3 linked regions of the Macaca mulatta genome follow. The protein of the gene in region 3 interacts with the protein of the main gene of each other region in a pairwise test. Links are inferred from orthologs where the notes say so. Each region holds a gene or a part of one and is shown on either strand. Other genes may lie near its edges. The genes, in order: GOLGA4, NEFM and TNIK.

What was found.
Region 1: the proteins of TNIK (region 3) and GOLGA4 interact in a two-hybrid assay, tested with the Homo sapiens proteins (2 studies listed by BioGRID and IntAct). The link is inferred for Macaca mulatta from reciprocal best matches to the Homo sapiens genes TNIK and GOLGA4.
Region 2: the proteins of TNIK (region 3) and NEFM interact in a two-hybrid assay, tested with the Homo sapiens proteins (2 studies listed by BioGRID and IntAct). The link is inferred for Macaca mulatta from reciprocal best matches to the Homo sapiens genes TNIK and NEFM.

What each region holds. Positions count from the first base shown.
Region 1 is NC_133407.1:99,501,270-99,505,699, forward strand, and holds the start of GOLGA4 (golgin subfamily A member 4), read left to right. Parts: upstream 1-1,579; 5' UTR 1,580-1,861; coding exon 1,862-1,933; intron 1,934-4,430. UniProt on the Homo sapiens protein: Involved in vesicular trafficking at the Golgi apparatus level. May play a role in delivery of transport vesicles containing GPI-linked proteins from the trans-Golgi network through its interaction with MACF1. Involved in endosome-to-Golgi trafficking.
Region 2 is NC_133413.1:26,649,329-26,653,511, reverse strand, and holds the start of NEFM (neurofilament medium polypeptide), read right to left. Parts: upstream 2,868-4,183; 5' UTR 2,835-2,867; coding exon 1,755-2,834; intron 1,023-1,754; coding exon 898-1,022; intron 1-897. UniProt on the Homo sapiens protein: Neurofilaments usually contain three intermediate filament proteins: NEFL, NEFM, and NEFH which are involved in the maintenance of neuronal caliber.
Region 3 is NC_133407.1:82,741,480-82,744,317, forward strand, and holds part of TNIK (TRAF2 and NCK-interacting protein kinase), read right to left. Parts: intron 2,135-2,838; coding exon 1,975-2,134; coding exon of another isoform or gene 1,892-1,974; exon of another isoform or gene 1,790-1,891; intron 1,718-1,789; coding exon 1,578-1,717; intron 1-1,577. UniProt on the Homo sapiens protein: Serine/threonine kinase that acts as an essential activator of the Wnt signaling pathway. Recruited to promoters of Wnt target genes and required to activate their expression. May act by phosphorylating TCF4/TCF7L2.

The sequences.
Region 1 (4,430 bases), about 17 Mb from region 3:
GCCCAGAAAAAAAACTCAGTAATTATATAAGGCAGTGGTCCCCAATCTTTTGGGTACCAGGGACCTGTTTCATGGAAAACAATTTTTTCCTGGGGGTGGGGCTGGGGGATGGGGAAGGATGGTTTGGGACAATTCAAATGCATTATATTTATTGTGCACTTTATTTCTATTATTATTGCATTGTAATATATAATGAAATGATTATACAACTCACCATAATGCAGAATCGGTGGGAGCCCTGAGCTTGTTTTCCTGCAACTAGATGGTCCCATCTGGGGGTGATGGGAGACAGTGACAGATCATCAGGCATTAGATTCTCATAAGGAGCACACAACCTAGATCCCTCTCATGCCTAGTTCACAATAGTTCCAGCTCCTATGAGAATCTCACGCCACAGCTGATCTGACAGGAGGTGGAGCTCGGACGATAATATGAGCCTTGGGGAGCAGCTGTAAATACAGATTAAACTTCCCTGGCGTGCCAGAGATTCACTTCTTGCTGTGTAGCCCGGTTCCTAACAGGCCATGGGCTGGTACTCGTTTGTGGCCCAGGGGCTGGGGACCCCTTACATAAGGTGTTCACTATGAGATATAAGAGGACTTAGCCCAGGTGTTAAGGCAGTGTTCCAGGCCCCACTTTGGCTCTAATACATTTAGGGATCAGAATATGGACTCTCGAGAGCAGCTTCCCCCTATTATTGCTGGAAAACAAAATTTGCTAAAACGTGGAGATCAGCATATACTGTTAGATTCTGATGCCTCAATGTAAGCAGTTTCAGATGATACCAAAGGTACAGCATGCAAAAGTGGGTTGCTGAAATTGGACCTGAGGATTCGCAGGCAGCCAAACTTCGGGTTTTGGATAAATGAGGCACATAAACATTAAAATCTTGTAGGATGACTGCAGGTGTTAGGAGTAAATTTGGACTCATTAGGAATCTGTGTCTTCCACTAGGCTGTGAAATCTCCAAGGCCTGATAAAGGTTTCTGAATGAATTTGTGAAATATACGATTTCGGTGAAGAAAAGAATAAAGCAGGTGTCCAAACAGTTGAGGTTTTACGGTATTGGCATAAAACATTTGGACCCCTGGCGGCCGGTATCAGGGACTTCCCGACGCTGGAAGAGTTCCGGGAAGGGAAGCGGGCCCCTCTGGAACCGAAGACATAGAATCCTAGCTACAGCTACTAAAGAAAAGTACACTATCAATTAGGGCCCGCGTCAGGTTCTCTGGATCTCCCCTTCTCCCATCCTGGAAGCTCATCCCTGTGTTCTTTGCAGTGGGCCCGTCGGCCCTGCTGCCATCAATAGAAGCAGTACTCTCCCCGTCTGATTTCGCAGGGCCAAAGCCCAGGTGAGAGTCAGTGTGGTGTTCAGACTAGCCCTCGCTCCATTTCTGAGCCGCGAGGGCCGCACGCAACGAAATCAGGCAGCCCCGAACCTTGTGTCCTCCAGTGCAGTGAGTTCGGGAGCGACAGGCCGAGCGCGCATGTGCAGGCCCCGACATTGTGCTTGTCCCCTCCGGTGCTCCGTAGTTAGCCTCGGAGAGCTCCACGTAGGCGGCGCAGGCGCCCTTGGTGCACAGTTCACCTGCTGCCGTTGTCGTCGCCGCCGCGGCTCCCGGGGCTGGATGGGGGCCCGAGGCCAGCCAGTGGCACCCGGAAGAAAGAGACGCGGCGGCGGCGACGCCGACATCCTCAGGACGAGTGTCCGGACTTGCCCGCAGGCTCAAGGAGGAGGCGGCGAGGCCGGGTCCCCGCGGTCCCTGGTGTAGAGAAGTCGCCGTAGCCGCCGCGGCCGGGACTCCCCGGGCTCTCGCCCCTCAGGTCTCATTGACACTCAGGACCCTACGTACGCTGCGCCATGTTCAAGAAACTGAAGCAAAAGATCAGCGAGGAGCAGCAGCAGCTCCAGCAGGCGCTGGCTCCTGGTCAGGTACGATGGCCGCAGCTTTCCTCCCCTGGCTCCCGATACCCCTTGAACCAGCCCGCGGACGAAAAAGGCGGGGGGAGTGGGGCGTTCTTCCGTGACCTTTGACCCCTAACCCTGGACTCTTCCGAAACTCCGGATCCAGAAGGAGCTCCGGGCGGTGCAGGTCGCCCGTAACTCCTGACCTGGATTTTCCCATCGCAAAACTCCATCCAGTAATGAGTGGATGGGGGTGGCTGGATCCCTCGTGACGTCCCATCTCCGTTAAGAGTTTTTCCTTAAGGCCAGACTCCGAACTTACCTGATTTCTGATCCGTATTTGAGGTTCCCCCGTCCATCTGAGACCCCACGCTGGGAATGAGGGCGGGGTTGGAAAACCCGGGTCCCTTGTGATATCTAATCTCTGCTCGAGGTGTCCCCCTCTCTCATGCCCATCGTGAGATTTTGTGTGAAATGGCCAGGATCCCGCACAACTGACCCTTGACGGAAGTCTCTTAAATCCAAACCCAGGTCTAGGGATTGAAGGCTGGGGAATAGAGCCATCCTGGGTCAGGCTGCTGGTAGGAGCGGTGGGACATGAAAGAGGTGGCGGCGTGGCCGGCGTCCAGCGCCCGAGGCTGTCACGAGTTAGTCACTTCGCATAACTTGGTTGATCCGGGACTGGCGGGCGGAGGGGGAGACACTCTCCCTGTCCAGAACTCTGCTCTGCTTTTTGAGTCTTGTTGCTCTGCGGACAGGGTTATGTTTGTTTTTCAGGAATGCTGTTGCTTTAGGAAATGCGTTTCCAGGGGAAAGGAGGCGTGTTAGTAGTATTAAAGATACAGTTTCCTAAGCGTTAACTGGAGATGTTTCGATGCTGGCAGCACAGGGTCTTAACAGCGAAGATGATGGTTTCTGCTTAATTTCTTCCCAGCCTTTTTGAATTGCAACAGATTGAGCAGATCTGTCCCTTAATTTTCGGGTTTTTGGTCTTTGCTTGTGGTTGCAAGAAAAGCTGAGTTTTGACTAACTTGGAGGCATTTCCAAATTCTTAACATAGAACGATTGCATTAGGTTTATTCGGAAACTATAAATTGAAGTTATTATTTTTAAATTTAAAGCTCATGTGTAGTAAAACAGTGCTTGAGAAAAACATCAGAACACAGCACTGAAGGGTTGCTTCATTTCTCAAGTATAAATGGTGGTTAAAATTTAAGTAGTAAAGATTGTCCTTTTCATACCATTTACTGCAGTCTTTTAAAATTTTACAAAACACTGTTAATTAAGAAACAAAGATAAACTTTAAAAGTGAGGTGGAGATGAGGAATGTGAGGAAATGGGCATGTTAGTGAATGTAAGGCACTTCCATTTGGGAGTGTATAAAATGTAATTGAGCCAGGATTCCATTTCTAGAAATTTATTCTAAGAAAATTTAGGATGTATTAAAGATTTAGCTCTATGGATTTTCATGTCAATGTTGTTTTAATAGGTTAAAAACTAGCCAGAAATGTCCACCAATAGAGAATTGGTTAAATAAATTTTATCAGGTAGTTAGTTTTGCTTGATAGGTTACTATGCAGCCATAAAAAGTCAGCATTTACTGTGTCCTTAGTATGTACCAGACATTTTGCTTAGTATTTACACAGATCATTTTATTTAATCTCACATAAGCCTGTGAGGTAGATAATACTATAATTCCTCCTCTATAGATGAAGGAGTGAGGCTCAAAGAGGTGAAGTAACTTGCCTGATGTTACGCAGCTAGTGTTAGAGACTTCAGAAAAGTATTAACACAGAAAGATATTTGTGTTAAAAGACAGAAGCAGCAGGTAAAATGTGATCCCAGTTTTGGGGAAAAGAATCTGTATGTAAGTGTATTTATATATACACATGGTAAAACTAGTTTAAGAGTAATATACTTTAAGGTGCTGGTGAATTACTGAGTGTGCTTTTTCTTATTTGTAGCGTTTAGCTTTTCATGAAAATGAGTTGTTTTTGTTCATTAACAAAGAGGTTGTTTTTAGTAATAAGCTAGTCACAAGCTAAGATGTAAGAGCTCTGTTTCTATAGCTTAATGCTTCTGGTGAAACAGGGCATCTGGATCAAATAAAATCACTTTGTGTACAAAAGGTTTAAAATAATCCTTTTGGATTATATGTATATTCACTGTGTTGGCCAGGCTGGTCTTGAACTCCTGACCTCTGGTGATTGGCCAGCCCCGGCCTCCCAAAATGCTGGGATTACAGGCGTGAGCCACTGCGCCTGGCCATTCGTGGTCTACTTTTGATAGTTATTTTGTAACCTTCCTTTCTGCCTGCCATATATCTTTCTCCCTGCTTGTGAATTGTTACGATCTTAGAAACAAAAAATGTGGCCTGGTATGGTGGCCTCACACCTGTAATCCCAGCACTTCGAATCACTTGAGCTCAGTAGTTCAAGACCAGCCTGGCCAAGATGGCAAAATCCCATTTCTGGCCAGGCACCGTGGCTCACGCCTGTAATCCCAGCACTTTGGGAGGCCAAGG
Region 2 (4,183 bases), on a different chromosome or scaffold from region 3:
CTTAGCCAGGTGTTAATATGGGTGTATCAAGTTATAAATTGGTCGATAATTTTTACCATAAATTGTCTATTTAATGTAGTTATTCAGCTTTCCTGAAAAGAGAGATAGCTCTGTAAATGCAATTTATTCTTGTTATATTATAACTACTTTATTGGTAGTAGAAAATTTTTAATCAACGATTTTGTCCTTTGCGCTTAGTCAACAGCAAGGTCACATCAGTTAATAGACCTATAACGTATCTCTCTATCTATAAAAAGATCATACACATTTGTGTCTGTATATCTAGATTTATATGCATATGCACATATATGTATCTATAGATCTAGATTAATATTATACATGATATAGATATAATTTATACTATAGTCTAGCATAAAATATAATACATATAAATTATCTACATATATAAAATAACTGTATCTATATTCTAATATATCATTCTATATCTATTCTCAGCCAGATGATGGCAATAGTAAGCTGTATAACAGAGAAACAGAGAAATAGAATGTCCTGGTGTTTGTCCTTGACATTATAAATTTGAAAAGCTGAAACCACTAGATGAAATATTAGAAACCAAAACTCTGTTCATGCTTCCAACATTTGAAAACATTTTTTCATAAAAAGTTTAAGCATATGCATTGATATTAATCTGCACCTCCTTCGTCTAATTCAAAAATCTTTTGCTTCTACTAGTATTTATTCTTTTAAAGCTGCATAAAAAGAGAGAAAACTACACTTGCAATTCTTTAGAATAATTTTTTTCTAAGTAAGCAAGAAAACCAGGCGCTGAGTTGATGCCTGCACCCTGCCTGCTTTAACTTTAGTGGTGAAAGCTCTGCCCGAACAGCCTCTGCATGGTGGTTAGTATTCCGGATACGCATGTAGTGAGCACCGTACCTGTACGCAGCGATTTCTATATCCAGAGCCATCTTGACGTTGAGGAGGTCCTGGTATTCGCGCAAATGACGAGCCATTTCCCACTTTGTGCCCCGAAGCTCATTTTCCAGCTGCTGGATGGTGTCCTGAAACAGACACAGAGAGTCTCCCTAGACTCATCCTTGCAAACAGCAACTTCCTTCGCAAACCACTTGCTACCCCTTCCCTCTCGCCTCCTCCCATCTCTATCCGCTTCTGCAAACCTCGCTGACACCCGACTCCCAGCCCCCCTCCCCCACCCCCTTTTTCTTTTAAATCTAAGGGATTCTCAAGGAACATACAAGATCAGTAAGACAATAGGACACTTCCTGGGCACATCACGCACGGAGATCAGTGGACTTAGAACACGTCTCAACAGGACACAAACATGCATGGGGAAACTCCATGGCTGACCTGGCCATTCCCATCTGAGCCCTTTGGGCTGAAGCCAATTTTTAGAGCTCTTCCGATCACTGCCGGAAAAGTAGAGAATACACGGGTTTCTGCATAAGCTATCCTAAAGTTGCTGATTTATCCACTACCGAATTTATCCCTCCTGCTTTAAACGTGCAAGCGTGCAAAATTAGAACTGGAAAAGAAGTACGTTTTTGAAAAAGGTCAAGACCTTTAAGCAGCTGGGGCAGGTGGGTGGGGGCGGAGTATGGAGAATGAGAGTGGCGAGAATGCTGATCCGAAACTACCCTAAGTCTGCGGCGCGCGCGCTCTAGCGAGCGGCCGCCAGAGAGCGCGGCGGAGAGGGCTCCTGGGCACGCGCCCAAGTGTCGGGGGCGCGCGGCGCTGGCGCTGGCGCAGGCTGGCCGCGCAGCCGCGGTTCCTACCTGGTAGCTGCTGAGGTCGTGGTTGTGGCGCTCCTCGATGTCGCTGAGCTGCCGCTCCAGGGACTCCTTGGTGCCGCGCACCGACTCTAGCTCGATGCTCTTGGACTGCAACTGGCGCCGGTACTCGGCGATCTCTTCCTTGGCGGAGCGGATGGCCTCCTTGTTCTGCTCTGCCGCCTCGGTGAGCTTGGCGTAGCGGCATTTGAACCACTCTTCGGCCTGGTGCATATTCTGGTCGGAGTGGCATTCGAGCTGGGAGCGGATTTCCTTCAGCGCCGTAGAGATGTCTGTCTTCAGGTAGTCTTTGCGCTCCACCGTGATGTGTGATGCCTGGATCTGGGCCAGAAGGTCGGCCACCTCCTCCTCGTGGTTGCTCCGCAGGAAGGCCACCTCATCCTGCAGCGACTGCACCTTCTTGTCCAGCTCCACCTTGACCAGCGACGCCTCCTCGATGTCTTTGCGCAGCGCGCGGATGGCCGCCTCAGTGTCGTCGCGCAGCCGCGCCTCCTCCTCGAAGCGCTCCTTGAGCCGGTGGATGTCTTCCTCCAGGTGGTCCGAGTCCAGCTGCACCTGAGCCTTCTCGTGGTTCACCATCTCCAGCGTAGCGCGCAGCTCGCGGATCTCCTGGTCGTACGCGTCGCCCAGCTGGGCGTGCGAGGCCTGCTTCTGCCGCAGCGCCTGGATCTCCGCCTCAATCTCCTTATTCTGCTGCTCCAGGTAGTGCACCTTCTCTATGTAGCCGGCGAAGCGGTCGTTCAGCCCCTGCAGCTGCTCCTTCTCGTTGGAGCGGGACAGCTTGTAGTCGCCACCGGGTCCGGAGCCGCCGTTGAGCAGGGACGAGGACTGGCTGAAGTCAAGGCTGCTCTCGGCGGAGCTGAGCATGGCCGAGCTGTAGGCGAGGCGCGGGGCGAGCATGCTGCGCTTGTAGGAGGAAGACACGGTGCTGGGCGAGCCGCGGGACCACGACTGCGAGCGGAAGCCGCTGGACGGGGAGCCGCTGACGCGGCTGAAGCTGGAGCGGGTCTCGGTTACCCGCCGGTAGGCGGACGGGTTGCCCAGCGAGTCCAATGTGTAGCTCATCTTGGAGGCCTTGGGGCGTGTGGCTGTCACAGCGTTCTGCCGGCCTCGCCGCAGCCCATTTATAGCCGCGGCGCTGGTCCCGGGCCAGGGCCCCGCCCCGTGGAGGCGGCGGCCGAGGAGGCGGGGACTGCGGGCACCGGTCGGGGAGGAGGGGAGGGGGGCGGCTGAGCGGTGATTCAGCGCCCGCTCCACGTGGGCCCAGGCCGCATGGGAACCCGGACTTTGCTGCCCTGGGCCCAGCCCCTCCCCCAGGTTCCCTTTCAGTCCCAGGCCACTTGTCGCCGGGCAGTCGCCTTCTCTCCATTTCTCACTTCCCGATTGCGTTTCGCACCCTTGGTACAAATATCGCCAGCGCCCTTTCTTTGCCTGTCACTGTCCCACCGTTCGGGCAGCGCTTCCCCGACCCCCTGGTCTCCTTGTTCTTTAGCCCTCTACCCTCTTACCCTCAAGCCTTTCTCTTCTTTTACCCTTTCCCCGATACTTTTTTCTTTACCCATCTTCTGTGCTTAATCCCATCCCCTTCTTTTTTGGCCCCTCTTCTCCTTCCTGCTCCGGCCTTTAGTTCGCTTCACCCTGCCTTTCTCTCAGCCCCTTCCTCGCGGACCCTTTTCTTCCAATCTTTCCTTCTCTCCGTCTCTTGCTTCCCCTCCCCCTGCATTCCCTCTTCTCCCCTCCCCCACCCTCATCTTTTCTTGCCTCCCTCCCCTTCCCCCACTCCTGTCTTAAAGCAGCTGGAGATGAGCGCCAAGGAGCTGGGTCTAGAAGACAAAAAGAAAAGAAAAAAAATACTTTGAGGAACCGTCTGCCTGAAGGCTTCGGGAAGGGGACAAAGAGAACAGGCCAGGGTAGTTTTTTGTATAAAAAGTGGGATATTGCGTTTTTAACGTTTGGGGGACGTCCGCAGCTTCCGCAGGGGCAGAAGGTAAGGCGCTTGTGCTCGCTATGGCGCCGGCAGCACCAAGGACAGCGCCCAGGTCGGGCGAGCGGGAGGTGCAGCCTCCCAGGGGCTTGTCACCCAGCCTGGCCTGTCAGGTTGGCGGGGGGTAGGGGGTTCCCTTCCCCCTCTTCTCTCCGAGCAAATACAATTTAAACCTGCCTGTAGTGACTCTCTTTGCAGGAGCGAAGCTGGAATCGCAGGCTAAGACTTCTCTGCAATGCAGGGCTGGCACAATGAACAGATTGCAGATTTTGAAAACAACCAAAATTCATTGAAGTCAGTTAACAGAAATATGTACTTGCAGCCCAGTTTGAGTTTTCTAACGTATGATTGTATAGGAGATGAAGAGATACAGGGCCTGAAATGTGAAGGTCAAATACTCCTTGGAAAGGAGAATTTGAAATCTGTTGGG
Region 3 (2,838 bases):
TAGAACCACAGTCCATTAGGTCTGAGTCTGTTAAGTCATTTTATCAAACAACTGACAAACGCGAGAAAAATTTGGGTTACTGCTTGCTTGAGCTGAATGTTAAATATAAAAGACCCACTGTCCCAGGAAAGTAATATTTTGGGCTGTGGCCTAGCCCTTCAGTCAGCCAATACCTAACTTTGGTCCGAGGCATTTGCTTTTGTCACTAGTATAAAGTCTGCTACTTCATTTCTACAGCTTCTTCAGAAGAATGCTGTCTCTCAACAACTTCTTAGGAAGGTCTGTGGAAATGCTTGACATTCAGCTAATGCTACATATGAAAGTAATGCTACTCTTAGGGTCAATGAATCAAAACGGAGGACAGAGAGGGCCCATGGAAAACCACAATGAAGAAAAGAAAGGGCTGCTGTTCCCTCCAAGTTGTGTGCCCCTGGCTCTAAACTTTGGGTTCCAGACACTGGTGTGGTCCCAGCCTACTCCTAAGGGTGTGGCATGGCTTGGAGCAGGCCTGCTAGGGTAGGTTTTCAATTGGAGTGTGGGTATCCATACCCAGATTACTCCTAGTTTTTTGATTCTTAGAGACTAGGTAGGAGCTAGAGTTTTACTAGGTTAGGTTTGTTTTCTGGGAAACTCTAAATGGCTGGAACCATCTTTGCCAGCTGCAGCTACTGTCCACCCAGACCACATTAGGTCAGAGTAGTGGGCCAGGGTTGAATATAGTTTAGGCCCACATCACCAGGGTTGAACTAAGACCAACCTGATCTTTGAGGAACTGGGGTGGACAAAGGGATGTACAAAAATTCAACCCATCATACTGTTTTTCTATAGGTGTTTATGTCTGTGGCTTTGGGGACAGCATTTCTATGTTGGCCACAGCCACAAAGGATGAATTCACAAATGCAATACGGCTTAGCTACTAAAACCTCAGGGTTACTCTATAGGGAGGGTAAGGGAGAAGCAGTACTGCTGCAGAATACTCCTCTGAGGTGACTGATCATGCCAGACGGACACAGCTAATTTCACTGGAAAACAGTTCACCTATGACATTTCAGAAGAAACATGGCTGGAATGACACAAGACATGGCACTAGTTGAGTTTGTGATTGTGAGTTCCTTAAGGAATGGGTGACATTTTAAAAAAGCTTATATTTCTACATGTCAAATGTTTTGGATTTAAAGGTGAATATAAGGTGATTGGTTAGGTCTTGAAAGTGACTTTGTGAAAAGTCTAAAAGTGGAAGTATAAAGTTGACCCACTGTGAGATGATTAATGATGGGCCAACTGCTCTAAGTGCTTAGGAGAATTTGTGGTGTCTGCTGAGTCATCATAAGGCCTTCAAGCCACAAAAATTTCTAAGAAGTTTACAAGAAATTTCTAGATGTTTTTATGTAGTTTTTGACATGTGAATAATATATTGAGTGTTCACATGGATCAAACCAAATAATGCCATTTCAAGATAATATTGATTGTTTAACACAGATGTGATTCAAATCAGTATAAAGGAAAATGAAGGTTTCACAGGTACCTGGTGGTCTCTTAAAATGCAAACACTAATGCAAATGTTGAAACGGATTTACCTTATCATTTCTTTCACATAGAAACTTTAACCTTTGAGCTCGCTTATGCATAAATACTCCATCCAAATGTCCTGTTTCCACTGACCGGATCTCAATAGCTTTCTCGCCCCAGCCCATTATCTGATTGGAATGAATGTAGGCTGTCAAAAGGAATTTCCAAAACTGCATTAAAAACATTAGATGGGCAATAACTCACAGCATCTGTTCACATCTTAACCACAAAAATGACAAACGACTTGAGATAAATGGACAAAGCAAGTCTTACAAGAGTTATTCACAGACTGTTTTTTTTTTTTTTTTTTTTTGGTGTGGAATCAAATGGTTGTTTCACATTTCTTGGTTTTCGTTTCATTTGGGGGGTGTAACTGCTGAAGGAGATAAGGAATGGTTAACCTACCCACAGACGTGGGCATTTCTCCCCATTGGAGCACCACATCCTTAGTTATCCGGCCATAGGTGTTTACATACACCCCCTCATCCTCATAGCAAACAAGCATTTCCATTCCATCTGTTTTAGGCAAGATGACAATAGCATGAGGAGTGATATTGCCCTGAATCTAGAAGACAAAGAAAGGCCAAGCATTATTCTTTTAAAAAATAAAACAACACTTTGACTATTCATCTCTAAGAACTGCAAAAAAGAGGTTTTTGTTTATTTTCATTGTCACCCTAAAGACTGAAATTTGCTTTAATTTAACCACTGACTTGTAAAATACCCTGGCAAATCAAACTTAGTCACTAGATTAAAAATTCAATTTATCTGTTCCTAAAAACAGCATGTAAATCTATGACACACCTACTATGTGCCAATCATGGGGCCCTTTACATATATAATTTCTAGCACCCAGAATAGCTCCCCAACGTAGATAGCTTTTTTACAGATGAGGAAACTGCATCTCAGAAGGGCTTTGTGTCTTGACCAAAGCTGTGCTAGTATTTGTTAGTAGAGTTGGGATTTGTGTACATCTTGCTGACATTGAAATTAATGTGTTTTCTATTAGCACAACTACTTCCAAAAAAAGATGAGGAGAATGTAAGCCAGCTGAATCTAATGGAGATGGCTTAAGTGGGGTCAAATGAACTCCTATCAAAATAATCTGTGAAAAAAAAAATAGGATTGTTTATCTGGGTGTCCAAATGGCAGAATAATTCATGGCTTGGTTAGAAAAAATATTTAGAATTACCAGTCATTTAAAAAAATCACTATTGCTGCGCACAGTGGCTCATGCCTGTAATCCCAGCACTTTGGGAGGCCAAGATG